4 linked regions of the Tribolium castaneum genome follow. The protein of the gene in region 3 purifies or fractionates together with the protein of the main gene of each other region. This does not show direct contact. Links are inferred from orthologs where the notes say so. Each region holds a gene or a part of one and is shown on either strand. Other genes may lie near its edges.

Region 1 (7,167 bases), on a different chromosome or scaffold from region 3:
AATTGAATGCTCGTTTGAGGGTTGAAGGCAAACTTTGCTATCTGTAATGGAAGACTCGTTGACCCCACGAACACCAACCCTTATTTCAGTAAATACAAACTGTCGTCCCCACGAAACGGCAAAATTTTTACTGTTTTAATCTTCATCAGCCAGATTACAGAACAAAAACTAAATTTGAAGTCAAAATTGCTGCCAACCTGACGACAAGAATCACAATCCCGGTATTATCTTTAAAAAAAGCACAATTTTCCCGTTTCGCAGGACGTGAGAATAATTGAATCATTTATTGCGCCTCTCTAGACTAAAAGCGTACGAATTGACAATAGCAGTTGGTAACCATGTCCGTATTTACTGAAGGTGGGTTTTTAAAAGGGAAGCCCGATCTGGAAGGCGTTAATTAGGGCCCTCCCCGAGTCGTAAATCCCGACAAACCCGAAAAGCATACCGAGGGAAATGATAAAATAATCAAAAGCCACCGTCCTTGAATCCATCCCTTCCCTTTTCAATTTCAAATGGAAATAACACGGCCAAATGAAACTAAGCATCGTCCCCGTAAAACTCCCAATAAACCCCATCAAAATGGCAAAATGCGGGATAAAGCAGGCCATGAGGATGGTAAAAACCACAACCCCCACCCTGCACGCCAGCCCCCATACCTTCAGCTCGCCATCAAGGGCCCAGATGGTGGGGAAGGGCGTTTTGGGTTTTCCCCGGAAAAAGGCGCGCTCGAGCAGCTCGCAGGCGGCGTAGTAGGGCAAAGGGTAGCTGAGGAGGGCCTTGATGACCAGGCAGATGTTCACCAGGCCCTTGAAACCGGCCGAGGGGAGGTTGTTGGTGATGACCTGTTGGGTGTCGTTCTGGAAAGTGAGGAAGCAGAGGTAGCCGAAGAGGGCTTTGAAGACGGCGGCCCACACGTGGGACCAATCCAGCATCCACTGGAACTTGGAGGGGTCCTCCATGTTGCCTTCAAGGGTCGGGAGGAAGATCTGGGAGGTGTAGGAGAAGACGATCACGCCGAGGCTTATGGGGAAGTTCTCCAGGTCGAGCGACCACTTGACTTTGCCCCAGCCCCAGTCGCCGATGTAGAGGAGGCAGTAGCCGAGGATGATGGCGTTGATGAGGATGTGGGACATCGTGCACCAGAACGAGAGCAGACTCACGCTCTGGAGGGTCTTGAGGAACGCTGAAAGATTTGATCTTTTATTTTCAAAGCTTCAACCGAACGAACTGAAATTTTGCACACATACGTAATCTCGTAAAAGTGCAACAATACTTAATCTAAAGGTAAAATGTTACCTAAAGGGAGGAGGAAAATCCCGACTAGCATCATCCACGATCGGGTGTCTATAGCCCCATCTGGGAAGGTGCCGATCATCAGGTCGCCACAGACCACCACGTACAAGATGCAAGTCATCAGGAGTTCGATAATTTGGGCTATATTTACAATCCGAGCGCCGTATTTTTTGCCAAAGCAAGCTTTAGCGATTGAAACGTAAGAGTCTCGGACTCGGACTTGGCGTCCTGTTTGGACGTCAAATTCGTAGAGACATTCCACCAGGATTTTGCCAGTGTAACAGCAAATGTAGGCGATGCCCACCATGGCAACGATGGCCCAGTAGCCCCCTCGGAGGACCGCAAATGGCAGCGACACGATAAACATGCCCTAGGAGAAAAAACTTTTTAAAAAATTATTCAATCGTAAACTTAAAAAAGTGGTCGAAAGTTTTATCAATAAATGAATTTTTTATTTCTCTTGTGGCATTTTTTTTATAAATCTAGAGCATCCTTCATTGAAAAACTTACTACATAAGTACTTAAAAACTGACATTAAAAAAAAAATTAAAATCTTGATGGGGCACCTGTATGGCGTTGGTGACGTTCCAGGCGGCCTGATACTCGCTGATCTTCACATCAGACTTCCCCTCGACAAAGTCGGAGCCTTCGGAGAAGTCGACCGAGGACATGCGGGTCTTGAGGTCCTCGTTGAAGCTGTCCTCGGCCTCGAAGTTCTCCTGGAGGAAGGGGTTGGTGGTCTGCTTAATGTTGGTCATCTCGTGGTGCTCGTCGGTGGTGCCCCCATGTGTGGTGTGGTTGACTTGTGCAAAGTGGACGCGCTCGTGTCCGGGGGCCCGCTCGGGGATCATCTGGCGGAAGGTCTGTCCGGCCACGTTGACGGCGGCGGAGAGAGGCGGCAAGCGGATGTTGCCCAGACGGTTCATTGTGTGATGGCACTGAGCACCGCCAAGATGGAACAAACGCTAATTTTTTACTTTAAGTGTGCGAAAAGTGCAGGTTAGACCATTTTGGGGGCGATTTGGAAGGTGGTGATTTCCATCTTGGCGGCGGTTGACCGGAGGAGATGTGGTACATTGGCAGACTCCGGGTACACTCCGGGGTGCGCAGGCACGGACTCAGTTCGCTGTTTCAGTCAGAACATTGTAAAATTATAATTCGAAATTTTTTGTGTTCCTCTTTTCCAGTTCTGTTGCTTTTTATTACCTAATTTTATTACTTAATGGCTGGCTTAAAACTTAAAGTTTTTAACTTTCTAAAAATCCGGTCTTCATGTAAATTTATCGGTGTAATAAGAAAACAGTAGTAATTTTTATACAGTATTGAAGAAGAAATTAAAAAAAAAAAAATTTACCAATTATGGAATTTTCCGAAATTTTGGAATTCATTTCCAATATTTTTGAATTATAATATTAATACTTCGCTAAAAACCCTTATTCCTCCCCTGCATTCACCCCAATTTCAGCCTTTCCCCCGACTGTACCGTAAAATGATCAATAAGTTACTGAAAACTGAAATTTTAGAGACTTTGCATTTTCAGTAATTGAGCCAAAACGTCTCAAACCCGCCAAAATCCGACTTATTTCCCTAAATTTCCTTCCTCCATCCTTTGAACTACTTAAATCCCCCGAATCCTCATAAAATAGTCAGGATTTTAGGCAAATGAGACCGCAAAATTTGCACAGAGCGCCAAATCTGGTAACTTAAATTTTATCCCCAGTGTCAAACCTGTCACAACCCTTAGAATGTTTTTATTGAATTTTTGAGCGCTTTTCGTCAATAAATCGCAAAAATGAGCTCTGGGTTCATATCCGAGGCCGAATTGGCCGAAGCCAGGCAAAAAAGACAGGAGGAGTGGGAGCGGGTCCGCAAACCCGACGATCCAATCGGTGAGCTGACCTAACCCCACTTTTGTACAAATTTGAGCGAAATTAATCGAATTTTCGGTGTTTGGGGCGCAGTGCGGCCTGAGGAGCCCTACGACCACCGCAGTTTGTACGAGCGGCTGCAGGAACAGAAGCAGAAGAAGGACCTGGAGTATGAGGAAGCGCACAAATTGAGTAAGTCCCGCCACTTAACCGTGACATTCGTTTAAAAGATATAAAATTTATGAGTCATTCATTACGTAAGCTAACCTAATAATTGCGGTCAAAAATCCGTGTTTCAGTTCGGGTTTTACACTTGTTTATTTATAGTTTGTGTTGTTTTGCGTGAGTTTTGACAGACGATTTTGACAAAAAGTTGCTGAAAAAATGTTGCAGCAGAATTATTATTATGACCAGAGTGAAGGTAAACCCTACTGTTCCACTTTTCTGGAACTTTCTTTACCAAAAAAATGCGCATTTTTCCGTTGCAGAAAATATGATAAAGGGTCTCGATGATGACGAAATCGAGTTTCTTGACCTTGTTGATAGAACTAAGATCGCAGCTGATCGTAAAAAAGAGCTAGAGGAAGAGATCGAATTGAACGATTATCGGAACAGAGTTGCCACCTTGCAGGAAAAGTCACTAGAAGAGCGCCTTCAGGCCGAAATTGCTGTGAATAAGCCCAAGGCCCCCACGAGTAAAACCTCGCAACAGAAGTTGCTCAAGGGGGTTGTGGTCAAAAAGAGGAAAAATAGTGAGGCGAAGGAGGAGAAAGACGAAGCGAAACATAGGAAAATTGAGGATGAAAAGACAGAAGTTGTGGCTGATTCGGCCTTGAAATGTGTGGGGATCTTGCCAGGGTTGGGGTGTTACAACGAATCGACTTCGGATGAGAACAGTTCGGATTCCGAAGTGGAGACAACTAGCGCGAAAATTGATATTCTGGGGAGGAAAATAACGAAGAAAGAGAAGGAAACGTGAATTGGTTATTCAGTGAGATTTGTGGAAGAATCGGAGGGTTCTTATCTGAGTTAATTGTCTGAATTAATTGTAAATAGAGTGTACCTATTATTGATTCCTGTGTTTTTCTAATAAATCGGTAAAAAAGGTGTTTTTTATTGTTGGAGAAACTCTTAAGGGAATAAAACCATTTAGAGTAAATTTTTTGTTTTATTAATTATTACCCTTTTTCCTTGAAACAAAAAACTGCTTCACATCAAAAATGGGCCACAACAACCATTGGAGGTTGGTACCACTGGTAAGTTCTATTTTTTGTTACCAATCCAAAAAAATAGGTTATTGCTATTGTAAAAAGTGGGGAATTCGTAAATACCAACTCAAAAATTGCGGGTTCGTTTCCTCGTCTGGCCCAACTTTTTTTTATATATCAAAAAATATTAAATTTAACAAACCTTTTTTGAAAAATTTCGTCAAACTTTCTGAAAAATTAAGAAATCGATTTCTTCTAATTTAGACCATTTTTATGTTAAAGTAAAACACGCCATATATTATAGATTTAAAATTGAATTTATTTTGATTGCCTTTCTTGAGGACCGAAAGAGTAAACAATTGAGACGAAAATCGTGTTATTTTGACCTTTTTCAAGGCTTTCAGGAACGTTTTGAAATAATATTTTGTTAAAACAGATCGAAAAATCAACAAATTCTGTTGGTAGTTAACTAATTACATTACTATGATTGCCTTTTTTCGAACCATTAGCTCGTTATTTAGCCAGAAACAATTGTTTTGCGATTTTTTTATTGTTTTTATATTTTTCAAACAAAAAAAAACAAATTAACTCAATTAATTAAGAAATTAACTCAACAAGCCTAAAAATTGTACTAAATTTGCATTTTTAATTATTCAAGTACGTTAATAATGATGTAAAAAGTAAGTAAGTGAGTTTTCTGTTGTTAAAGTCTTTCTGTTGATTTTTAGTTATTACATTTTTTTAATTATTCTCGATCAATTTGACATCATCTACAAATGGGCCAAAGAACTGATATATCGTTCAATAATTTGAATTTTATTCAATAACGTTTTGTATTTTTTTAATATAATTTCAAAGTCACCGAGGTCTTTGTGATGCGCCAAAGCACTAGTTTATTTATAAAGAAAAAATGAGTTTCTCGCAATTTCGTGTCACAACTGTGGTAAGAAACATCTGGAGACTTAAACCCACTAACATTTCAATTTTCCCAACTCCCAAAACTCCAGTTGCCACAATATAACCAACGTAATGATATTATCTGCCATTAGGGTCGCAAACCCAACTCCGGTCGGAAACGATAAGCACAAACATCTTTGCATTTGTATCATTTAATTGCGTTATTTTTTTGTCAACCACTCAAAAAACGCTTTGTTTCATTGGGTTAATTAGTCGTCGGTATTTCTATTCTGTTTCTCTAATCGGATTGTGCAGTGAAATGAAGGAAAAAAACTTGGATTCGTGTTGTGTAGTTCCGGAAATAAAACAAGTCGGAATAAAAAAACATATTTATTAAGTAATAGTAATAACAGAAATACATTAAGAAAATCACAGACATGAACATCGAACAGAGAGTAGCAAGAATGGTGATGATGAGAGGCCAGAGGCCGAGTTGGAAATGCAAAGCGTATCTTGCTTATCTACAGGGTGGGGCATAAAGCAGCCCTGGACGATACCCACTTCCTTATTGCAAATTCTAGTGCAAAAAATTAAATCACTTATCCAAAACACCCCGTATGACAAAAACAAATAGTTTAGTGATTTTTGTTAAGAAAGTCGGTATTTTCGGACGCCGCACAAATGACTCACCCTGTATAACATTAAACATTTTTACACAAAAGTCTTAAAACTACAGCTAGGCCGGTATAAAAATACGTGATATGGTCGACGAATCGAAAAACCTGACTGTTTGAGCCCAAATTTTTCGATTTTTCTGAAACAAAACGGGCTTATGTACAGGGTGTCCCACACAAGTATTGAACCAGGGCTTGGGTGTTCAAACCACGCACGTCTTGGTCGTTTTCTGGCTTGACTGCAGGCGTCCGAGCGTGAAATGAAGCTGATTATGCACAGTTGGCACTGATTTAATCCTGTGTAAGTAATGGAGTTGTGTGCCCGAGCCGGAACTGTCGCCCCACTGTAAAAAATTATGTTTGTTTTAATTCCGAGTTAATTGTTTCGTTCGGGGTGAATTCGTTTACTTTAGCTCGGCGGAGTGGAAGTTTCGGAATTAAAATATTGCAGTTTTATTCCATTTTCATAATGTTTTATTGTGTAATCGGGCTGGGGGCGGTGTTACACGGCCACCTGTTGCATTATTTAAGGCGCGCAAAAATGGAATTGTGTTATGGAAAAGTTTGGGTGGTAACAATGTTGAAAGTAGTGCACAAGTTTGATGGGTTTAAAGTTCGGTCTGGTGGGAATTTGGGATAGTGTGTGGGTGGGTGTACGGAAGGAAAAATTGAAACTGTGCGCTTCCTAATTTAAATCAGAAACTCGTTATCTTTTATGTCACTTCGTGTCGGTGGTTTCTCATTATGAAGTCCCCTGGGATTTGTCAAGGCTTAAAGGAATAAACGAGGGACATATTTAGAAATGTTTATTGGAGATCTGTTCAAAGTTACACAAATTATTACGATCAGCGAAAAATTCTTTGCTCTTCGATTAGATCAACTTTTTTTAATAATATAAATAAACTTAGAAGAGAATGTTCTAATTACTTCAGAAAAATCATTTTGGGATTTAAAACTCAACAATGAAGCTTCTCTCCTCCCTTACCTTTTTATTATGATGCATCTAAAAAATCCTGATGCGAGTTTTTTTTATATTATCATTATTAAATTTCTTATAAAAATATAGATAAACAAGGAACATATTTGAATTAATGAAATTTTTGAATGAAAGGATTTTTCCAAGATTATTAGTTTGGTGTTAGCAACAATTTTATTAATTTTTTTGCTCAAAACATCGTTTAAGCATCGTTGTTTTAAAATAACACTAAAATTTCAACTATTTTTTCT
Region 2 (7,280 bases), on a different chromosome or scaffold from region 3:
ATTTGGGCACCAACTACCTTAAATACGCTTTCTCATTTTCCCACCTTTTTGGTTAAAGTCAAGATAATCGTCCTTAAAACATAAATAAGGTCAACTCAAAATGATCCCTTGCAAACAATTATTAGGCCCTTGATTTGGAATTATAAAAATAAACATGAAACAGACCTAACCTAAGAGAATCTCAGAAGATCGGTGCTAATGACCTCGAAGTGCTACGTGGATGTTTCACCTGCCTTAATGACATATTTTCCAAAAATGTGTGTGCCTTTGCTGCTTCTTTGAAATAAATGGAAAATTTACGCAACAGGAAACATAAAGATAAGTTGATTGATCAATACAGCGACAATGAGAAAAAAAGCGCACAAAAAGAGGAAATTCAAGTCGAAAAATGTAAGAAACGAAACGGCAACACTCCTTCCTACTTAAACAATGACGAAAAAGAGGTCTCATACTCGGTTAAAAGGGCGAAGTTCCTGCGAATCAACTTCGAAATTGATTTAATCTCAGTGGGGTTATTTTTGTGTGGTTTACTGACTCGAATGTACAGGCTGGAAGAACCGAAAAATATTGTGTAAGCGAATCAACCCATTTTTTAGCACTTGCCTAATAATTTTATTGTAGATTTGATGAGTTACATTATGGAAAGTACGTCTCTCTCTACATGAAAAACACGTTTTTCTTTGATTCTCACCCCCCACTGGGCAAGCAGTTGATCGCAGCGGTGGCCTACTTGGCCGGTTTCGACGGAAAATTCAAATTCGATAAAATCGGGAGCCCATACCCCGACACAATTCCGTTATTTGCGCTACGTTTCGTCCCTGCGTTTTTCGGCAGTTTGATAATACCCACCTCTTATCACTTGATGCTTGAGCTGGGGTTGACGCAATGGACTTCGTTGCTGGCGGCAGTATTACTTTTACTAGATAACGCTTTGTTGACCCAAAGCCGTTTCATTTTGATGGAGTCAATGCTACTCTTTTTCGCCTTATTTGGCATTTTTTGCATTTTGAAATTTCGCCAATACTACTCCAACCCCTATTGCATTTTTTGGTTTTTGTGGCTGGGGTTGGGGTTTACTTCACTGACGTGCGCTTTGTCCGTGAAGTACGTCGGGTTTTACTCGTTTTGTTTGGGGGTTGCCATCCTCGGACGCGACTTTTGGAAAATGTTGTCTTCCTCCACCCTCACAGATAGGGCCCTTTTGGTGCGGTTTGTGGCCCAAACGGCCGTTGCCGCTTCAGTTTCATTTTTAATCTACTTGGCTGTTTTTTACATTCATTTGAAAGTATTGTACAAAGCGGGACCACATGATAGTATTATGACCAGTGCGTTTCAAGCCTCCTTGGAGGGTGGCTTGGCTTCCATCACCAAGGGACAGCCCCTCTTGGTGGCACATGGGTCGCAGATTACTCTAAGGTAGTTTTTTTTAAGTGGTCATTATTTTACTAACTGAATTTGTAGGCACACTCATGGGAGGACGTGCTGGTTACATTCCCACAATCACGTTTATCCAATCAGATATCCCGACAAAAGAGGTTCTAGTCATCAACAGCAAGTCACTTGTTATTCATTCAAGGATGTTAATAACTGGTGGATTGTGAAGAGGCCAAATAAAAACGATCTTGTGGTTGAACAACCCATAGATGCAATCAAACATGGAGATGTTATCCAGCTAGTACATGGTGAGAACCACTTTCAAATTTTTGTTTCTTATTTTAAATAAAAGCTGTTTTTCACTGCGTTTTTATTTAATGTGGGAAGTATTTTTCAACTTGAGGCACCTTTGCAGGTATAACAAGCCGTGCCTTAAACTCCCACGACGTGGCAGCGCCCGTGTCCCCCCAATGCCAGGAAGTGTCCTGTTACATCGACTACAACGTCTCAATGCCCGCGCAAAACCTCTGGAGGGTGGAAATTTTAAACCGGGATCAAAACGGGGACAGCTGGCACACAATACAATCACTGATAAGACTGATACACGTTGATACGAACACAGCTCTTAAATTCACCGGACGACAACTCCCAGATTGGGGCTTCCATCAGCATGAAGTTGCCGCTGACCGGATTATCAATCAAGACGACACGGTGTGGAACGTCGAGGAGCACCGATACACTAAATGTAATTTTACCTCAACTCTCAGTAAACCAAATTAATTGTTTGATTAATAGCCGACGATCAAAAAGAACGCGAACGCGAACTCGTTACCGCCGAAATGATCCCAACAGCTGCAACTTCGCTAACATTCTGGGAAAAATTCTTCGAATTGCATTACAAAATGCTGTTTTCAGGCACCGAAAGTGTGCAAAATCATATGTATAGTTCGGAGCCTCTGGAATGGCCGTTGATGGCCAGGGGGATCGCCTATTGGGTCTCATCGACGAGCAACGTAAGTCAACGTAAAGATAATTAAAAAATGATAATTTTTATTCGCAATCAATATTTTAATATACCGTCGGGAAGTTCGTCATTACAAATTTATAATTTGTAATCAGCAGTACTATTTCTTTCAGATTTTTTTTCATTTTTATATTCATTATCATTATTACATTAGTATTTCCGTAATTTTATCACTCAAAAGGTGTAGTATATGATAATTAAATACAACAAATTGTTTTTATTAATTTCAAAGTTACCAGTTATTGTACGCGATGTCCGGAAAATTTTTGTACTTCAGGCCATGGAAATTGCTCTATTAGTAATTTTATGAATAATTCTAGTAAATAATTCCAATCACTGAACACTATTATTATTATTATTACTAACCAATATTAATGACTTTAGCACTTGGCTTGTAATAACGATTAATTACAGGCGCAAATACATCTAATTGGAAATCTCTTGCTCTGGTATTCCGGAAGTGCCGGCCTTGCCACCTACTCAACTCTACTTGTCTTCTATCTTCTTCGTCGACGGAGACAGTGTTACGACCTTGATACGAAAAAATGGGAACAATTTCAGTTGATTGGAGAGTTATTTTTTACAGGCTATTTGTTCCATTATCTACCGTATTTTTTCGTGGAGCGGACGCTCTTTCTACACCACTATTTGCCCGCATTTACGTTCAAAACGCTGCTATTAGCGGCCCTGCTTGAACACGTTTATTCAACAATTAGTGATATTTTTAAAATTAGGGTCATAAAGTATATTTTTATATTACTCATATTTTTATGGATTTGTTGCATATTTTACGTTTTTATGAAATTTATAGTATTGTGTTATGGTACAACCCCGTTAACTACAAATGACATTATTGATCTGAGATGGAAAGACACTTGGGACTTCATAGTTCATAAAAATTAGCAATTGTTCCATGACAGCAAATTTGATACTCATATTGATATTGAACAAATTAATCATTTTTATATATTTTATTATGAACTGAATAAATGTATTTATGTGAAAAACATTTAATTGATTTAAGCCGTGTCCATCTGTTCGGCCTCAATGGGATGAACGGCAACGTCAACCACATCAACCTTGATTACTTTACTTTTTAAAACCGCAGTGGTCCCTTTGGGGTACTGGTAGGACGACTGGCGGACCCCCTTTTTGTTGGCCTCGTCGTAAGTGCGGCGATAATCAACAGACCCCTTCCGAATTATGCACACGTCCACGTTAGACCCCGACCCCAAATCGTTGAAAATACCAGCGGCGATAGCATCCCGTACCAACTTGACCCCTTCCTCTTCGTCCAAATCGGGCTTCCAGCGCGACTCAAACACTGCCATTGCGGCAAGAGAGCCTGATCCCATGGTAGTGTACGGCAGTTTATCTGTGGAACCGTGCGGGTAAATTGAATACAAGTGGGGCCCAGTGACGTCCACTCCCCCAAGAACTAGGGCTGCGCCAATGTACCCCTGATAGCGGAAGAGGTACTGTTTAAGCATTTGGTTGGCGGTGGCCACTCGGGGGGTTCGATTGGTGAACAAACGGTGCAGCTCGAGTTGCGAGGAAATCATTTGGGTGGTTTGTTCCGTGTCGGCCGCAGTCCCAGCCCCGCAACAACTACGTTTAATTAATTTAACCCTCGTCGGTGGTCGAGTTAACAACACTTACTACATATTGGAGGCGAGGTAGTGGATTTTTTCGCAGTTTTTATCCGACACGGTGGTGTCTTCTGTGGCTCGGGTGTCAGCCCCCAGAATCACCCCGTCTTTGTAAGTGATTCCCACAATTGTGGTCCCGGTTTTGGTGGCTTTGGGCACCGGAAAGCCTTTACTTTCGAGGGTAGCATTTCTGGAAGAGGTTATGTTGATGACAAGGCAAAACACGGGTCACAATTTCACAAACAAGCGGAACTATTACGTTTTTGTAAACTTACCGCTTGCAGTTGGCGAATGAAAAACCTGGGGGCGCAATTTCGGGGCACAAAACCGACATTTTACGCTTTGTTTATGGGAGACAAGTCGGCAAAATGATTCGTAAATTTTAATTCTAGGGATTTTAGCTGTCACTTGGATGTCGGTGAAAACAGCACCAAAAATGGTGTTGGCATGTCACATGGCACAAAATGACGTAAGTCACGTGATAAGGGGGCACGTTGTTTTGTTCTACTTAAAATCATAAAAATGTTTAGAAGTAGCACAGTTCCACAAAGAAATAAATTCTCCATGACCCGGCAGCAGGTAATTGATGACATCGAGGCCGTTTATAGGGTCGAAGACCAGAGGAGTAAGCTGTACTGGTGTCTGGATGAGAGGCCCCCCAGAGAGACCAAGTTTGAGAGAATCGAGGAGTTCCTAAAAGGTACGCAGGACTTGGAAAAAAGTTCTAACATACTCAACAATTTAAAACATGAAATGGAGGCATTGCAAAAAGATATTGCTTCACAAATTGCCACCATTAGGGAAACGTCGGCAAATGCTTTAAGGAGTTGAGAATAATCAGTATTGCGTTGTTATCTATATTTTTAATAAAATAATAGTACAATACTTTAACTTATTTGACCAAAAACCAGTGTAACAATACGGATTTTATGAAAGTGTGAATTACAGGGGGTAATGCATTGGATTAACGTCAGTGTGAGCCTGAACATTACGATCTGACATGTAGAAGCAAATCAAGCATGGTCCTGTAAAATAAAAATGTAAGAATTGGGGGGATAATTAGTAAACACTTAAAACATTAAAGGGAAGTAATTTTTTAAGTCTTTAATGCATTATAATTCTTGTCACGTTTGTGACGATGAGTTCATGCTTTACACAATCTTCTGATTAACATTTTTTGAGAATGCAATGAAACCAACAGTTAGCAGCCAAAAAAGCATAAGCATTATCGCACTACAGCACGGAAGCGACAATTGTTTAAGTGCGGTGAAAGCATTATTAGATTCATACAATAATGAAAATTAATTCTTACCTGGTGTTACCTGTTTTAAATTGTAATGAAAAATGGTTAGTACTTGGTGTAATATAATAATAAGAGGAAAACAGAAAAAATGTCTAATATGAAACATGATTGTTTTATTTTTAAAAATATGTAAACACAGATCATCTTGGACGGAATGTATTTCTATGCGGTTCTAAAACTAGCATAAAGTACATAAGTAACAGTTTTAAAAATCTATAATGTAACAGTCTCTAATATTGGTAAATATATAAAATATAAACTCTTTACAATAGCATTTATGTGATTTTTAAGTACATAATAGAAATTTCTATCATTATAGTAAGACTTTTTGTGCATGTTTGTTTCTGGGTCAGGAACCAAATCATTACTTTTTCTTTGAGATGAATGATTTTGTTCCCCACCTCCACTAGATTTTGAATGGCAAATCAATAAAAGCGCATAATTACACATTTTTGAAACTAAACCGAAAATACCAGCCTCAGGGTAATTAGTAAGTTTCAACAAATGGAGAAATGGTTAAGTAGGACCCCACCCACAGTTATTGAGCCACTAATATTAAAGAGAGAAGTAAAGTAATCGAAGGAAGATTATAATGCCCTCTGTAAGTAATGATGTTTCGGTGTTAAAATAAAATATTTTGTACAAAGTTGTATCAAATGCAGTCCTCAATTGAAAAGCTGGTCATTGAATACAACATTTGCTGTCATAGGGTTGGTCAGGGATGCTAAAAAATGACTTGACTGTTAACTTGCCTGACGGTTTACAGTGCAGATGCTCTTCAATAAATTGACAGGGACATGTAAGTGAAGGACAATGCCGGCCCCCTGAGGCCGGTGGACTTACTAATAATCCACGCACTACATTACGCCCCCAACGAGATGCATATCGCAAATATAACAATGTCGCCCTCTCCTGAAAAGAAACATTTCCGGTAACGGTTTAACAACTGGAATGTTTGTGTGATATTCGAATTTGGCAGTGTTAATTTTCCTCAACCCTCCAAATGAAAAACCCGTGTGTTAAAAAAGTACAATAACAAAAACAAAAGTGCATAAGATTCGTAAAATTACTTAATCGATGCCCCGTCTGGCCAAAAATCGCGACCAAATCGGACAGCAATCTCTGTCAGATCTCGGCGGTTTATTTGCCAGTATCTCCTCGACGTACTGGCAAGGGCAAAGCGACGAATTTATGTGGAGAGGATTGGACGGATTCCCCAACATTTCGTCCACGGTCCAATCTAAACGTCTCCTGAGAAAATCTTTTCCCCACCTTTGCAAATAGCGCAAGAACAACTGCTCAGCCCGGTCCTAAATCGCAAGAAAACACTTCTATAGAGCCTGAGTTGGCAACCACAATAGAGGCCAGAAATGGGCAGTGGCTAGATATGATTGCACTCTTGTTTTTGCAAAACTGGGATTATTTATCACACCACTCCAATCTGCACCTCTACTGCTACGAAACTGTTAGTAGATACGTGGTTTGTGCAAAGAAGACAGTTAAGAGCTAATTCGTCCGGAAATTTTCAAATGAGATGTTAATTATGCGGCCAAATTTCAGTCACACTCTATTAACCCATCACCCACCTGTTTCCTGGATAGCCTCGTCGTTCGACTTCCTTGAATAACAATGTCATGGGCTGTGATGTCCATCCTCTGCTCCCATCCATTCGCCGGATCTCTCTCCTGTTGATCGATGCTCGTTTGCAAGTGTGCTATGCACGGAGCTGAGTCCATGTACAGGAAGCAAAGATTGACTTTGTGACACGAAATTTTTCCTCTATCGTCGAGTGCTATCACAATTTTGTGTCTGAGTAACTGTTTATTCACATGAGCCAGACATCGTTCCAAGTTGCGGGATAGTTTATACTTTATCCACATTGAGAAGAAAATTGCAGCCGCGTTTAAAACTAACCAACCGATACCTAACC
Region 3 (7,427 bases):
CTTAGAAATCGGTCAATTTTTAAAGTGTCTCAAAATCAAATAAAACCGATTCTATCTTATAGATTTTGATGTGCTCTTTCCGATCTAAAAAAGAGTTTTCTCCTAGCTCTTTTAGTTTGGCCGTAATCGGCGTTTGAAAATTGAAAATTTTTTTGCGAGATATCGCCTTGAGTCCTATGCCATTTTGTAGAGTTTTTTATTCCGGTTATCCTCCATTTTTCCGTTTCTCGATATCTTTAATAGTTTCGCCGTAATTGGCGATTGAAAATTGAAAAAAAGTGAAATTGGAAACCTTTTTTTGCGTTTTTCTCGGAAACTGTAAGACTTAGAGCAACGAACAAAAAACCATCTGATAGCGCTTAATTTTGTCTATCTTTTCGACCAAACCCGGAGCCGCTCCGGGCAACGGTTCCGGCTACAGAGGCGATCAAAGTTTTTCACTAAAAAAATTCATAAAAAAAAAACTAAAAGTCGTAGAGCATTGCGGTTTGTTCTATTGAATTCTACGGCTCATTTTACATATTATATCGATTTTTCACAAGAATTAAAAATTTAAAATTTTTTGCCTAAATTTAGGGTAGCTATTTGTCATAGTGAAAAATTTTATTCATTAAAAAAATTCATAACTCGAAAACTAAAAGTCGTAGAGCAGTGCGGTTTGTTTCATTGGATTCAGCGGCTTTCTTTCTCTATTATACTAATTTTTCACGCAATTTAAAATTTTCAATTTTTTTGCTCAAATTTCCTGAGTAATACACTTACCTTCAAAGAGGTGAAAAAAAAAATTTTTTTTTAAACTCACTCCAGTAGATTTTTATGGACTTCTACATGTCTTAACAACCCATAAAAGTTGTTAAAAGTCCACAAAAAGTCCATATGTTCGATTTTTTGATGTTTGATTTTTTCAATTTTCGTCGCAGTTTTTGTCAATTTTTGGTACCCGGAACATTTCTCGAGCAATAGCTCCGAAACTATTCGAGATAACCTTATGAAGTGTAGTATCGTTGGAAAGCCCTTTTAATGATCTATCATTTGCAAAAAAGATTATGGTTGTCCGACTTATAGTTTTCGAGAAAATTCAAATAAAAGCGAAAATTAGATCATATACTCAAAAATTCATAACTAAAAAACTATTGGGAATTTAGCGCTTTTTTTGATTCCAATCGATTCCCCGGATCATTTTGTATAGGTATGAATCAAAATGGTTCCACTTTTTAGAATAGTTTAGCCGTAAATGAGAAAATAAAAAAAATTAAAAAAAAATTAACACCCCCCCCTTAGAAATCGGTCAATTTTTAAAGTGTCTCAAAATCAAATAAAACCGATTCTATCTTATAGATTTTGATGTGCTCTTTCCGATCTAAAAAAGAGTTTTCTCCTAGCTCTTTTAGTTTGGCCGTAATCGGCGTTTGAAAATTGAAAATTTTTTTGCGAGATATCGCCTTGAGTCCTATGCCATTTTGTAGAGTTTTTTATTCCGGTTATCCTCCATTTTTCCGTTTCTCGATATCTTTAATAGTTTCGCCGTAATTGGCGATTGAAAATTGAAAAAAAGTGAAAATGGAAACCTTTTTTTGCGTTTTTCTCGGAAACTGTAAGACTTAGAGCAACGAACAAAAAACCATCTGATAGCGCTTAATTTTGTCTATTTTTTCGACCAAACCCGGAGCCGCTCCGGGCGACGGTTCCGGCTACAGAGGCGATCAAAGTTTTTCACTAAAAAAATTCATAAAAAAAAAACTAAAAGTCGTAGAGCATTGCGGTTTGTTCTATTGAATTCTACGGCTCATTTTACATATTATATCGATTTTTCACAAGAATTAAAAATTTAAAATTTTTTGCCTAAATTTAGGGTAGCTATTTGTCATAGTGAAAAATTTTATTCATTAAAAAAATTCATAACTCGAAAACTAAAAGTCGTAGAGCAGTGCGGTTTGTTCCATTGGATTCAGCGGCTTTTTTTCTCTATTATACTAATTTTTCACGCAATTTAAAATTTTCAATTTTTTTGCTCAAATTTCCTTACCTTCAAAGAGGTGAAAAAAAATTTTTTTTTAAACTCACTTCAGTAGATTTTTATGGACTTCTACATGTCTTAACAACCCATAAAAGTTGTTAAAAGTCCACAAAAAGTCCACATGTTCGATTTTTTGATGTTTGATTTTTTCAATTTTCGTCGCAGTTTTTGTCAATTTTGGGTACCCGGAACATTTCTCGAGCAATAGCTCTGAAACTATTCGAGATAACCCTATGAAGTGTAGTATCGTTGGAAAGCCCTTTTAATGATCTATCATTTGCAAAAAAGATTATTGTTGTCCGACTTATAGTTTTCGAGAAAATTCAAATAAAAGCGAAAATTAGATCATATACTCAAAAATTCATAACTAAAAAACTATTGGGAATTTAGCGCTTTTTTTGATTCCAATCGATTCCCCGGATCATTTTGCATAGGTATGTTCGGTTTTTTGGAGTTTGATTTTTTCAATTTTTGTCGAGATCTTGGTCGATTCTGGGTATCCGGATCATTAATGAGCAATAACTTCGGAATTATTATATTGTGTTTTTTTCTCGGAAAGTGGAAGACTTAGAGCAAGCAACAAACAAAAAATCATCTCATAACGATTCTATTTGTTCGTATTCACTCTAATACCTACCGTTAGAAAACTCAGTTACGAAAAGTATGTACTAGTGTAGCATTTGGAATAAAAAGTCGTTTTATAATTTATTTATGAAATGTATTATTTTAAATAAAAAATAACCCCAACAGCTACTCACTGCTAAGTGTCACTACAAGTTCCCTTACAGATAAAAAAACTCACAATAACTTTATTACGAAAATATTGTATAATACTCATTGTCACGTACACACTTTACAAAAATCAAAATTCGAAAGATGCATTTATTTATCTGTTTTAGTACAAAGATTCAGTAGCATTAGTGGAACGTGGCTTCTTGATTTTGTCGAGGTTTTTAATAACTATGTCGTGAAGGGCACAATACCGATTTCGGATCTCGCACATGACCAACCACAAACTCAAGTACTCCTTCTCATCCAGCTCCTGCACGGCCCTTCGGTAGTCCTCTATGTGCGGGTATTTCGCCACTTTCGAGATGACCTTGGCTCGAGAAATGAAATATCGCGAGATTTGATCGAAAAACGCCGCCGCCTCCGATTCCACCGACTGCACCTCGGCCAGAGTGTCCTCCTGGATCGACACCCCGAAGTTGTTGCCGTCTTCGATTTTCGGAATCATAAAAGAAATCCACATTTTCATCTGCAAAAAAATTCACAACACTCGTCCCTCGTCTCGCAACGAAAATACTTTAACATAAGAGCATCATTTCTTTTAGAATATAAAATAAAATACAAAAAACAAGTGCCGCTTTTAAAATACGTCAAACACTAAATTACGTATGTAACTCCGAAAAGGCTCAGAAATATTGTTTTTTCTGAAAATTATCCGTGTTCACAAATTTAATTGTATTATCTAAATTTTTTATGATGTATTTGCTTGTCATTTAAACAATTAAAGGCAGTTAAGAACATTTTATAAGTTCCGATTGTTCACAGGAATGTGCATTGAGTAGGCTGTGGAATACTTGTGAGACTAGATCATTCAAATTTTGGCATGGTTACCATGCCAACTTACAGTATTGGAGTCTTCAACCAGTTTGCGGATGTGGGGCTTCACAGCCTCGACCAACTCGACCAGATGCTTGTTAGTGGGCACAGCCCCCGTGGGCAGGATCATGACCTTGGTGCCGTCTTGCGATATGCTATTGTCATACTTGGCCTTCTTGGCTGGAGGCAGGTCCGTGTGGCTGTTGAGCAAAATGGGGTCTGGCACCGGGATGTTCAGCTCCTGGTGCACGTCAGTGAATTTCCGATTTTTGAACTGGGGCGTTTCTAGCAAAGCGTTGAGCTTCACAATCGTCGCGGGGAACCCCTTAAGCAGCAACTCTTCGGCCTCTTTCTTCAGACTGTCTTTGTATTCCAACACCTGCGAAAACGCAACTATCAACCACACACAAGGGGGCTATCGAGACCTCGTGGTAGGCCGACTCCTCGTCCCAGCCCTCCACGGAAATGGAGCTCGAAGAGGGCATCACTTCAAATTTTGACCAGTTTTTGACAAAACTGTCACGAAATCGTGCGGAGCTGAATCGGCACGCGCCTTTTTTCCCACTCACCTTTTTTGCATCTGCCATAATATACAATTAGAACTAACTTTTGAACTGTTCACTTGAGTTGACTTAACCTAAATGTTTGGGGCAATGGCAAAAGAAAGGACGAGAATTGGGCCTAGCACCAGGACGCGATCCCCAATCCACCAAATCAACAACTAATTGAATCATGCAACAACTTGTGCCAGATTGCTAAAATTTGATCCCACTGATCTGGAATTTCTATACAACAAATATTTACAGCGTGATTTCGCGATTTGCGATTTAGGTTGGCAATAAAACTAGCGACCAAATTGGCCTCGAGTTGCCAAAAAAAAATATGAAACAATTCTATAAGTTTTGGTTTATCTGGTTAATTGTTAAAAAAAATAAAACGTAAAAACAGTCCGCATGCAAAAAAAAGGGCTAACGCCAGGACGCGCTCGTTGATTCACCAAAGTCACTGAACGCGAAATGCGCGAAAATTTCGAGTTTGAATTGTTTGACGCCCCTGTCTTTGTTTTTTGATTGAAAATGTCAGAAGACAATCGAAGAGTTTCCACTCATGTCGTACGAAAATTCATAAACTCGGCTATTTACGTGGAAAAGCCGCTTTCGGCGAATGTGTCAAGTGAAAACACTTCGATTGCGGGAAAATCCTCGCTTGAGGATTTTCCGGAAGTAAAGACCAAACGTTGCACTTGTTCTGTAGACCAGAAGACGTGTCCTTTTCATGCCGATTGTCCTCCTATTTTGAAAGAATCAAGAAAAGTGCTCAAACTGCCCGAAAGTAAGACCAAAGTGTCGCAAAATTCCAAAGTCGAAATCAAAAAATTGATCAAGAAAGAAGACGAGACGAGGAAGAAAGTTCAGAAGCAGAAAATCGTCGATGAAGCGAAAGTAAAAGAGAAGGAAAAGGAAAAATTGCTCGAGCAAGAGAGAGATAACTTTAGGAAATGGTTGATGAATAAAAAAAAATTGGAGGAGGAGGCGAAACGCAAGAAAGAGAAAGAAGAGGAAGAAAAGCAGTTAAAAGAGTTGGAGAAGGAGAAACGCCAGTTGGAAAATCAGCTCAATTTTCAGCTCTGGTTAAAAAAGAAGGAAGAAGAGAATTTGGAAAAGAAAATTAAGAAACAAATGGATTTGATCAACGAGCTGGAACGCAAAGAAACACAGTTGAAGGACAATGAAAAAGCGTTCAATGAGTGGCTGAAAAATTCCAAACATCGGCAAAAACCAATCCCTTTGAATAAAGGACTTGAATGTAATTTACTTCCAGGTTTAGGGCACGTTTTAATGATTTTTTTCAGCCCTTTGTTCGTCAACCTCGGTCACTTATATCAACCCAAATCCTTGGAATCCCATCACTTAGAATAAAATAAAACTTCTCACAGCGTAGTTTTTCTTTCAAAGACAAAAGTTTCCTACTCATTTTGGTGATTTTTTGACTCATTTCTCTCAAAATCTGACTAAAAACATGTTAAAACCCTCGAAAAAAGCCCAATTTATGTTATTTTCGTCCTAAAATTCAGTAACTTTTTGACTTAATTTTAAAACAACTAACAGAGTAATTACGTTTTGGGCCAATTATATGATTTTCTTGCTAATTCCGCGTTCCCAAGTTCAAAAAAAATGTGGTTGAAAGCTCAAAAAAAAACAAAAAATACACAAAAAAACTTGTGTACCCACATTTTTTAAAAATTTGAAAGCACTTTAGTGTTTTTTCAACTGCCAAAAGCATGATTTAAAAATTTTAAAATGGAATAGTTATTAAGTTCAAAAACGTACCTTAAAGCTCAAAAAAAGCAAAGATGATGCAAGTTTTTACTCAGTTTGATGATTGTGATTGTTTTGTGCTATTTCTGACAAAATCCTCTACAGAATATAGGTCATTTTCTTCAAATTTAGCAAGTTTTTTGCTTAATTTTACAACAACTAACGAAATAATTACGTTTCGGTCCAGAAAATCTAGAAATACTAAAGAAAATATCGAAGCTTTTCTTTTTAAATTTAAAAAAATCTAATAATTTTCAACATTTCTACAAAGACTTATGGCTTATCTGTCTATTAAAGCAACAAAGATGATGTTCCGAAATATTTGTCCGCCTTGATTGGTTTCAAAGAAGAATAAGTGAAAAAATTGCAACACAAAAGCCTAATTTCGCGGCAAAAACTTAATCGAATTTTCGCCAGACAATCAATATGGACAAAGCAATCTAAAATAATAAATAAACGCGTATTACACTTAATGGTTCGGTAAAATATTCGTGACCGCTCTTGATTTGTTGTTAGCAACAACACCTGACAACAGATGTGTACGAAGACAATTGCTTGTCTTGATAAAAGTTCCATGTTTTCAAGTTTTGCGTAACGAAAAAACATCGAGAATTTAGAGCTTTGGCTTGGCAATGCATGACCACGAAAAGCACGTCCGGCCTCATTACCATACAAGCCATATCATTAAATTTCCTTTAGCAGAAACCTGTATGCGCGTAATAAATGTATTCCGGAGTCGATTCAAACGCTAGAAATGCGTCCTTGTCAATATTTTGCGCCTCCAACAAACATATCAATAAGGCGAGGCTAATGCGGTCACCTATTGTGAAAAAAGAATAGCTAAATAGGGGTGGAACGTCTTCAGCAAAAGCGCTTGCACCGCTCGAATAAACACTCTTCAGTGGCTTCGGAAAGGCCGATGCGCGACCACACTTTTTACATGATTTATTGAAATTGATCGGCTCGGAAACATGTAATTTTGAGGGGTTAGTTGACCAGTGCCGACAGACGTGGACCCAATCACTAGACTGGTATTGTACTCACTTTTTACAACAATAAGTGGCCCACAATAATTGCCCCAAAATTTGGTTTCACCCATCAAACTTTTTTATTTCACCACGAATTAGCTAATTAAACCCACCCCTAATTTGGACATGCAACCACGAACTAATTAGCACTGTTATGTCAGGAGGGTGCGCATATTGTGATTTAGTTTAATTAGTTAGAGCTAAAGTTTTCCCTTAGATGTTATCGCACACGTTCAGGATAATTGACAGCTTATTTACCTAAACCCTGCATCAAGTCCTAAAAGCTCCTTTTAGTTGATGAATGAAACTCCTTATTTTATCATAATTTATTTAAATCAGACCTATTTTTTTTTCAATAAATCTATGAATCTGACGTGTCCCTCAATAATAATAAATTGGAGAGCCGATCTTAGGAAACTTCCCTAACCCACAATTTTAAAAGTTTTTTAACTGGAAATA
Region 4 (8,277 bases), on a different chromosome or scaffold from region 3:
GCGAGAGCATTCCAGTCCTTAATAGCTTTAAAAATGAACGTGCAACGAATACGCGTCTCCTTGTAGGGTTTCATTGTTAGTTCTCACGTTCTACATAAATAATTGCCGATTAAGACCTTTTTATCAATTTAGTATCAGCATGTTCGGTTCGGAGCAAATTGCACTACAATTACCTGCCCGCACAACACTCGCAATTGCACCTTATGAAGGTGTTTGACTAAGCACTGATCCTCAGATTCAATTCATCTGGTCTAAATACACCACATTAACATGGTAATGTTTGGTCGGGAGTGAATTCCCCAACAAGCGCTTTTAAATCTGCCAAATAAGGTAAACTGCCGTTCCAGCCTCCATTTGACTTGATTATAACGATAACGTCCAGTTCTTGTCGGCTCATTTCCGATGGTGAGGCTGTCACTGTATAAGACTTGTCCTCAATTAGCTGCGTTTTTTACAAAAAGAATCTCCCATATCGGTGGACACTGAAAAAATTCATTTCCAGCACAAACAATAAATATCGGTTCGAGTCACTGGCGAATGAATAATCCTGTCTCAAGTTCAAGACGAATGAGTGATTAGTATTTATGATTCATTTCTTGTACTATTAAAAGTTAATATGGCAGCCGATATAAAATTTGATTTATTTTAGACAAAGACACCGGACTGTCATCATCAATGTCGGCGATTTGTATTTGTATCTAATAAGCGATAGCGAAATGGAATTAAATGCACCTATTAAATATTTCTGCGTCAGAGTGGCAAATTTATGGCCCATTTTATCAGCATTCTGGGCGAAAAGTAACGCAGATAATGAGCAAAACATGTCCTTTCCCCGACGTGGTGTGAGGTCTCGGAGCGCAAAGTGAGAATTAATCGAAAAAATCTTTCCAGGAATTGTCTGAGAAATTCTGATACTTTTGCACAAGCTGAGCAATATTTTACAACCTCCTGTGCATAAATCTCGTTACTGTCGCTGTATTTTTACTAGAACAACGTCTTATTTACATCTCCGTTCTCACTTATGCTCATTTTTGAATGCCGATGGAGATGAATTGGTTTATTGTATACAGTATCAGACTGAATATAAGCACGACAAAAGACCTGCGGATTAAATTATTGCAACAGCTCGCTTTTCTTGCACTTATAAATCACAATATGAAACTTTGTTTATCCAACGTGATGTAATTCTTCACCTTCGTGGAATACTGACCTATTGAAGTATCCGTTCCGGATAGAGGGTGACAATAATTGCGAGTGTATGTGCTTACGATACTTGCAAATTCCTCCTATAAATCAATGCGAATGAAGGAGATTTTGCCAAAGGTTACCCTGCAAATTAGGCGATTCAGGCATGACCGCACACTGTAATAACGCCTGCCTTAAGCATGTTACAGGTTCACGAAGACATGAAACGCAAAGTGATGCTAAATAATAATAATAATAATGATAAAAAAGGAAAAAGTTTAAACAAATATTAAAAAAAAACAGATAAAAGTTGAGAATATAATGTAGTTATCTTAGTTAGAAATACTTAGTTCGAAATAAAATTATAGAGCAAAACACAAAAACTATTTTGGTCCATGTCTTAGATTTAAGACCATCATCTCCTAAGGTTTGAAATAAAAAAATATGTGCGTAGATGCACCTGTAAGGTAGCTCGTGGACATTGCCACACCAGGAAGTGCAGTCCGAAGAATCATGTCCTTCCGGCAAACGAAGAAAGCTAAAAATTGGTAACCATCTTGGCAATTACGCTATCAGGGTCGTGTTAAAAAGCCACGGTCAGTAATAAATTCCACAATTATTTCAATATGCTTTCTCGGGCGTTGGTAATGCATAAGAGCGTCATTACAATAAATACAGAGTACTTGTATAATACTCCGGGGAATATCAACAAATTGCAAATACGAACCTATACCCACTGCAAGCACGCCAACAATTTTATTTATGTTGCAATTATATTGCAATTTAGCTCGTTTTTTGAAAATTCGTCGTTTACGAAATACCCATAAAAATCCTTTATTGTGTACGACTGTCCTCATAAGTTGTTTGTTTGTCCAAAGAAAAACTTTATACTCTTATTTATTGGATATTAAAGGCGAATGTTATGACTTTTAAATTGGTTTTATTAAGGCAATTAAAGGTGGTGGACACTGTAAAACCCATATTTACGAAGTTACTTACACTCAAGCCACATATTTCTACAGATTTTATTAATGACCACAATTAATTACTCCCTAAAGCCTTCACCTTTTCTTCGATCAGGTGGTTTCTTTTTTAATGGAAATGCATGTGTCTACGCAACATGTTAAATATAAATTCACAGTATGCAAGATACCATCAGGTTTGTGCAGCTAAGTGCGTTCAAAATAACACAAAGTGCTCGCAAAACACCCAAGAAACAATGCATTACACTCTGCTCTAAACTTGTTTTGCTCACCAGGAAGAAAGTACTCGACTTTACCTAATTTTAAAATAAACCCACTTTTAACATCCCTATAGCAATAAATGAAACATCTTAATAATAATAGTAATAACAATAATAATAATAATAATAATAATAATAATAATAATAATAATAATAATAATAATAATAATAATAATAATAATAATAATAATAATAATAATAATAATAATAATAATAATAATAATAATAATAATAATAATAATAATAATAATAATAATAATAATAATAATAATAATAATAATAATAATAATAATTTGAATTGAATTTTTTTTATGACTAAAATGAATAGTAATCAAACGTTGAGCAGGAGAAGTAATTTAGGTCAAAAAAAAATGAGAAAATAATTATTTATATTGTTATTTTAGTCAATTAAATATTGATAGGCGTGGCCAATTATGTTTAAAATGAATCCTATTTTTATACAGAATCGTTAAAGGGATATATACAGTCAAAAGTCTGAAAAATAGTTCATTAAATTGTTTTTCAAGTTATATTTACAATTGGTTTATCATAAAAACCGTCAGCTGCAGTAAAATGGGACTAAAAACAATGTAATATCCTATATTATATTTTTGAATAAGCACTATAAAGTTGGCTTAGAAACATAAATGGTTGCGACATCTATCAAAAAAAGCAGTAATCATTGTAAACTGTACAGAAACCTATTAAGAAAATGCGCGCAAAGCAAATCGGTTTAACGGTCATCTTGTCTCCGCACTGAAATACAGTATAAGTGTTTATTATCGTTAGTGACAAATCACAAGTTAATTTACAACGTAAAGTGCTTCAAGTAAATTGTTACAACTGTGTGAACCGCTGTTTGATATAATTTGGGTAAACAACGATTGAAATTGGCCGTAGTTTTGAAATAACGATAAGGAACCGTCATTCATACGTTAGCAGCAGCGTATGAATATAGCCTTCCTGCCAGTTTAATCATCCTACATGTCCATGTGGTGTTAGCCGGCTGATTGCAAGAACCAATTAATTAAAACCGTTAAGTTTACAATATTAGTCAGTAATTCTACAATAAAATGCATCAAGAAACACTCCGACTTATACAAGTGCTAGAAAAAACTGTTTCTCCCGGTAAGTACAAAACTTGACTATTTGACAAGTTGCCATCATTTTTTAACCACTGCCATATAATCGCATGCCTAATCATCAAAAAGCACGTTCCTCTCAACCCCGCCTCATTTCCGCCTTTTCGATAAATTTCAACCCGCTTTGACATTTTACGAAATTCCCAAGCAACTCCCCGTCAGGGCTTAAACCAAAAACCTGACGATGTCGCCGCACCGGCGTCGAAACGTCGGTCGCTCTTTTTCCCAAAATGCAACTCTTTTCAAGCCCTCAAGCTCGCAAAGTTTCATCATAACCTCACACTTTTCGAGGTCATTATCCTCAGTGATTTTCCGTTAATCACAGCCTATTTGACGATTTCCAGATAAAAATGAACTGGAGCAAGCATCAACATTTCTTGAGCAAGCTGCCGCCGCTAATATCTTAGAATTTATCAAGACTCTATCCGATATCTTGCGACATGGGGGCAACAGTCCCGTTGCTCGCATGGCCGCCGGTCTCCAACTGAAAAACCAACTCACGTCCAAAGATCCCAACATCAAACAGTTATGTCAACAGAGATGGCTGTCGGCACCGGAGGAGATACGCAACTACGTCAAGAAAAACGTAATTGTTTATATACCGGTTTTGTTAGTGTTTTTTTCGACCGTTTTCTCCAGGTCGTAGGGGCCCTGGGCACGGAGACCAACCGGCCTTCGTCAGCGGCCCAATGCGTGGCTTACATCGCTGTCACCGAATTACCGCACCACCAATGGCCCGACCTGATCGTCACGCTAGTGAACAACGTAGTCCAACCAAACTCCACCGAAATGCAGAAAGAAGCAACGCTGGAGACCATCGGCTACATCTGCCAGGAAATCGACTCAGACGTGCTCGTTACCCAATCCAACGACATCCTCACGGCGATCATCCACGGAATGCGCTCCACAGAGCCCAGCAATCATGTCAGATTTGCGGCAACGCAGGCGTTGTTAAATTCGCTCGAATTCACTAAAGCTAACTTCGAAAAGGCAACTGAAAGGAATTTCATCATGGAGGTGGTGTGCGAAGCCACTCAGTCGCCAGATACGCAAATTAAAGTTGCAGCGTTGCAATGTTTGGTTAAAATTATGTCTTTGTATTATCAATATATGGAGCCCTACATGGGCCAAGCTCTCTTTCCCATTACTTTAGAAGCGATGAAATCTGACAATGATGCCGTGGCGCTTCAAGGTATTGAATTTTGGTCGAATGTTAGCGACGAAGAAGTGGATTTGTCCATCGAAGCCAATGAGGCAGCGGATGCAGGCCGGCCCCCAGCCAGGTAAGAGCATCATTTCTGGAATGACTATTAGTAAAAACTGTAATTCCCTGTTTATGCGTTTAAGTGAAATCCAGTCTGTGAGCGATATGATAAATTCGTAACTTAATCAGCTAATCGTTAAATATCATTAGATAACTAAGTTTTTCTGTTTTTACTTCGGTCAGAGAATTCCCACAATAAATGTTAACAAGAATAAATAATCTTTTTACGGCTTTTGCCATGCTATTAAAAGAATCAGATTAGTAGTAGTTTCATAAACCTAGTCAGATTTTTATAAACACAAATTAAACTAACGATGCTTTTGTGTTGCTAACTTTAGTTTGGTATTTTTATGATCGATAAAAGCCTTGTTTTGATTTGATTTTCACAATTTGCGTTTGAAACATCAAAAAATAGATAAGTGTTAAGTCAACAAGCCTATTATTAGAACGGAGATTATTCATTGTCCTGTTACGCTGACTCAACCGTCAGTCAGTTAAGCGAATATTTCTTCCAGAGTATCACGCCACTACGCCAAAGGTGCGCTCCAATTTATCGTACCCATCCTTCTGCAAAAACTAACGAAGCAAGAAGAGCTCGATGACGAAGACGACTGGAACCCGAGCAAAGCTGCCGGCGTTTGTTTAATGCTTTTGGCCACATGCTGCGAAAACGAAGTTGTTCCACACGTTTTACCTTTTATCAAAGAAAACATAAAGTCTGAGAATTGGCGATTTAGAGATGCGTCGCTTATGGCTTTCGGCTCGATTCTTGGCGGGTTAGATAACACCACTCTTAAACCATTGGTGGAGCAAGCCATGCCAACCTTGATAGAGCTGATGTATGATAGTAGCGTTATCGTGAGAGATACTGCGGCTTGGACTTTCGGCCGAATTTGCGAAATTATTCCCGAAGCGGCCATTAACGAGAATTATCTTAAGCCCTTGCTGGAAAGTTTGATTAATGGACTTAAGGCTGAACCGCGAGTTGCGGCGAATGTCTGTTGGGCGTTTTCTGGATTGGCTGAAGCCGCCTACGATGCAGCTGAAACTAACGAAGACACGGGAACTCCCGATACGTACATGTTGTCACAATACTTTGAGTATATAATTCAGCGGCTTTTGGAGACTACGGACCGTCCAGACGGCGCTCAAGCTAATCTCAGACCGGCAGCCTACGAGGCTTTGATGGAAATGGTGAAGAATTCACCGAAAGATTGCTACGTCACCGTACAAAAGACAACAATGGTGATTCTTGAACGTTTGCAACAAGTTTTACAAATGGAAACACACATTACGAGCCACAATGATAGGTCACAGTTTAATGATCTCCAGTCGTTGTTGTGCGGAACACTTCAGTCGGTTTTGAGGAAAGTTACACCAGAGGACGCGCCGCAAATATCCGACGCCATCATGACTGCTATGCTGACCATGTTCAACTCGAATTCGTGCAAAAGTGGAGGTAATTCACCAGCCAAATGCGCCTTCAAATAAAATCTTTCGCTTACACTTTACAGTGAATTGTATTAAAGATTTTAGTTTGAAGGCGTATTATAAAAAATTATAAGTACGGGAATTAAACGTTGTTTGTGTTAGGTGTACAAGAGGACGCACTGATGGCAGTGTCAACCCTGGTGGAAGTCCTCGGTGAAGGTTTCATCAAATACATGGACGCGTTCAAGCCGTTTCTTTACATCGGCCTTAAAAACCACCAAGAGTACCAAGTTTGTGGTACCGCAGTCGGTCTAACCGGTGACATTTTCCGCGCTCTCAAACTAAAAGCTCTTCCTTATTGCGACGAAATCATGACTCTTCTGCTCGAAAATCTCGGCGATCAATCGGTCCACCGTAGCGTCAAGCCACAGATTCTTTCAGTGTTCGGCGATATCGTCCTAAGTATCGGCCCCGAATTCAAAAAATACCTCGATGTTGTTCTCACAACACTAGCGCAGGCGTCGCAGGCACAAGTCGATAGAGATGATTTCGATATGGTCGATTATTTGAACGAATTACGCGAAGGTGTACTTGATGCTTACACGGGCATTGTACAGGGTTTAAAAGGCGATGGCCCGACACCTAATCCCGACGTTTTGATTCTCGAACCGCACATTCCTTTCATCGTTCAATTTATAACCGTGGTGGCACAAGACACGTTCAATTCTGATGCCACGGTTGCGGTGGCTGCCGGATTGGTGGGGGATCTCTGTACGGCTTTTGGAGCACCACTTTTACAACTCCTGGATTTGGAGCCGATCAACGAGATGTTGGCGAAAGGCAGACGAAGTGGAACTAATCGTACTAGAACTTTGGCCACTTGGGCTACGAAGGAGTTGCGCAAGTTGAAGGCTAATTCGACGGCCGCTGTAGCTAGTTGGTAAGTGGGAGTGGACAGTTTCAGCAGATCCAATTGGCAAAAAATCGTTACAAATAATATAAAACAGACATTATTAAAATTATAGCTGGGATTTTTTTAAAATTAAAATAAAGTTAGTTGTGGTGGGTCGGTTGGATCTGCTGCGTTTGAGACTTGGCGTTGGACTGTATGTGTCTCGCGAAAATCGGTGTGCTGAGCGAAGTTTGACAGTGCTTTCGATGGTTTCAGATTTTCTTTGGCATGTTGTGGTTTAACAGAAGGAAATCTAACGAAGGTGTGGTCAACGGCATCGATATTGGATTCGCATTATACATAAAACCAAAATTCTTGCAGACTTTAGTTTTCGTTTTGGCTGAGTCGGACCAGTTTTGCTCATCTCTCGGTTGAGTAAAGCTGGTCAGCTAGTTTGACATGGTATTGTTCCCCAATACTTTCGGTTTTCGGGGTGCAGAGTGAGTGCTGATGCATATGGACTCTTGATAAACTGTGAGTGCTAATCGTAGCTGTGAACGCTTGTGAATAGTGTCTGAATCTTCGCCTGGTTTCGTGAAAGGCGGTTTAGCTCAAGACTGAAGAGTGAAGTGGTGTCTCCTCTATCACTTGTTGCGTCTTTTACGTTCGTCTTCACTTTAGTGTTGTACTTGATTACAATAAAAGCATTTGTCTATTTCACATATCGAATTAATCATAAGTAGTTATTTTTATAATGGTCTTTGGTGAAGAAATTACCTATGCACTGCAGTCAGACAGAAGTAATCTTAAAATCCTGATTTATTATTGCTTCTTTGTTTCGCTGAAGTTGTGTGTAATTTCATTGCGGAAAAAAGCAAAACACGCTCTGGTGCTTCTTTAGATTTTGCGAATTTATATTAACTTTTCTCTTAAAAAGCAAAAGACTGCGATAATCAAAAACTGTCCAGAGGAGCGTGTTTCGGTTTTTCCCTGGTTGATTTTTTTGAAACAATTTCCAATTCACTGAATTCATACTCAGGAAATTTGAGAATAATAAATCTTGTGACTGGTATTTTTTATGAAAGATTTTTGTGAGGCCTGATTGTGCCTTGCGTGGGTG

The links.
Region 1: the proteins of REG (region 3) and PSME3-interacting protein purify together in Homo sapiens (affinity purification with mass spectrometry; 4 studies listed by BioGRID and IntAct, counting the BioPlex papers as one, with this or other methods). This does not show direct contact. The link is inferred for Tribolium castaneum from reciprocal best matches to the Homo sapiens genes PSME3 and PSME3IP1.
Region 2: the proteins of REG (region 3) and proteasome subunit beta type-7 purify together in Homo sapiens (co-immunoprecipitation; 4 studies listed by BioGRID and IntAct, with this or other methods). This does not show direct contact. The link is inferred for Tribolium castaneum from reciprocal best matches to the Homo sapiens genes PSME3 and PSMB7.
Region 4: the proteins of REG (region 3) and Fs(2)Ket purify together in Homo sapiens (affinity purification with mass spectrometry; 3 studies listed by BioGRID and IntAct, with this or other methods). This does not show direct contact. The link is inferred for Tribolium castaneum from reciprocal best matches to the Homo sapiens genes PSME3 and KPNB1.

The regions. Positions count from the first base shown.
Region 1 is NC_087396.1:21,466,792-21,473,958, reverse strand, and holds PSME3-interacting protein, read left to right. Parts: upstream 1-2,994; 5' UTR 2,995-3,085; coding exon 3,086-3,182; intron 3,183-3,254; coding exon 3,255-3,353; intron 3,354-3,649; coding exon 3,650-4,140; 3' UTR 4,141-4,268; downstream 4,269-7,167. Other genes in the region: VGAT (vesicular inhibitory amino acid transporter), read right to left, coding at 366-1,183, 1,297-1,663, 1,860-2,219; orexin receptor type 2, read right to left, coding at 6,144-6,284. UniProt on the Homo sapiens protein: Promotes the association of the proteasome activator complex subunit PSME3 with the 20S proteasome and regulates its activity.
Region 2 is NC_087398.1:8,313,730-8,321,009, forward strand, and holds proteasome subunit beta type-7, read right to left. Parts: upstream 4,483-7,280; 5' UTR 4,382-4,482; coding exon 4,323-4,381; intron 4,238-4,322; coding exon 4,058-4,237; intron 4,007-4,057; coding exon 3,418-4,006; 3' UTR 3,355-3,417; downstream 1-3,354. Other genes in the region: rt (protein O-mannosyltransferase 1), read left to right, coding at 288-571, 622-1,416, 1,462-1,682, 1,790-2,119, 2,170-2,387, 2,813-3,301; uncharacterized protein LOC659493, read right to left, coding at 4,990-5,072, 6,103-6,262, 6,937-7,280. UniProt on the Homo sapiens protein: Component of the 20S core proteasome complex involved in the proteolytic degradation of most intracellular proteins. This complex plays numerous essential roles within the cell by associating with different regulatory particles.
Region 3 is NC_087395.1:26,221,575-26,229,001, reverse strand, and holds REG (proteasome activator complex subunit 3), read right to left. Parts: upstream 4,186-7,427; 5' UTR 4,108-4,185; coding exon 4,048-4,107; intron 4,002-4,047; coding exon 3,651-4,001; intron 3,276-3,650; coding exon 2,913-3,275; 3' UTR 2,886-2,912; downstream 1-2,885. Other genes in the region: coiled-coil domain-containing protein 34, read left to right, coding at 4,699-5,428, 5,475-5,536. UniProt on the Homo sapiens protein: Subunit of the 11S REG-gamma (also called PA28-gamma) proteasome regulator, a doughnut-shaped homoheptamer which associates with the proteasome. 11S REG-gamma activates the trypsin-like catalytic subunit of the proteasome but inhibits the chymotrypsin-like and postglutamyl-preferring (PGPH) subunits.
Region 4 is NC_087398.1:2,428,363-2,436,639, reverse strand, and holds the start of Fs(2)Ket (importin subunit beta-1), read left to right. Parts: upstream 1-3,164; 5' UTR 3,165-3,501; coding exon 3,502-3,556; intron 3,557-3,914; coding exon 3,915-4,156; intron 4,157-4,209; coding exon 4,210-4,853; intron 4,854-5,349; coding exon 5,350-6,293; intron 6,294-6,427; coding exon 6,428-7,205; intron 7,206-7,433; coding exon of another isoform or gene 7,434-7,434; exon of another isoform or gene 7,435-8,277.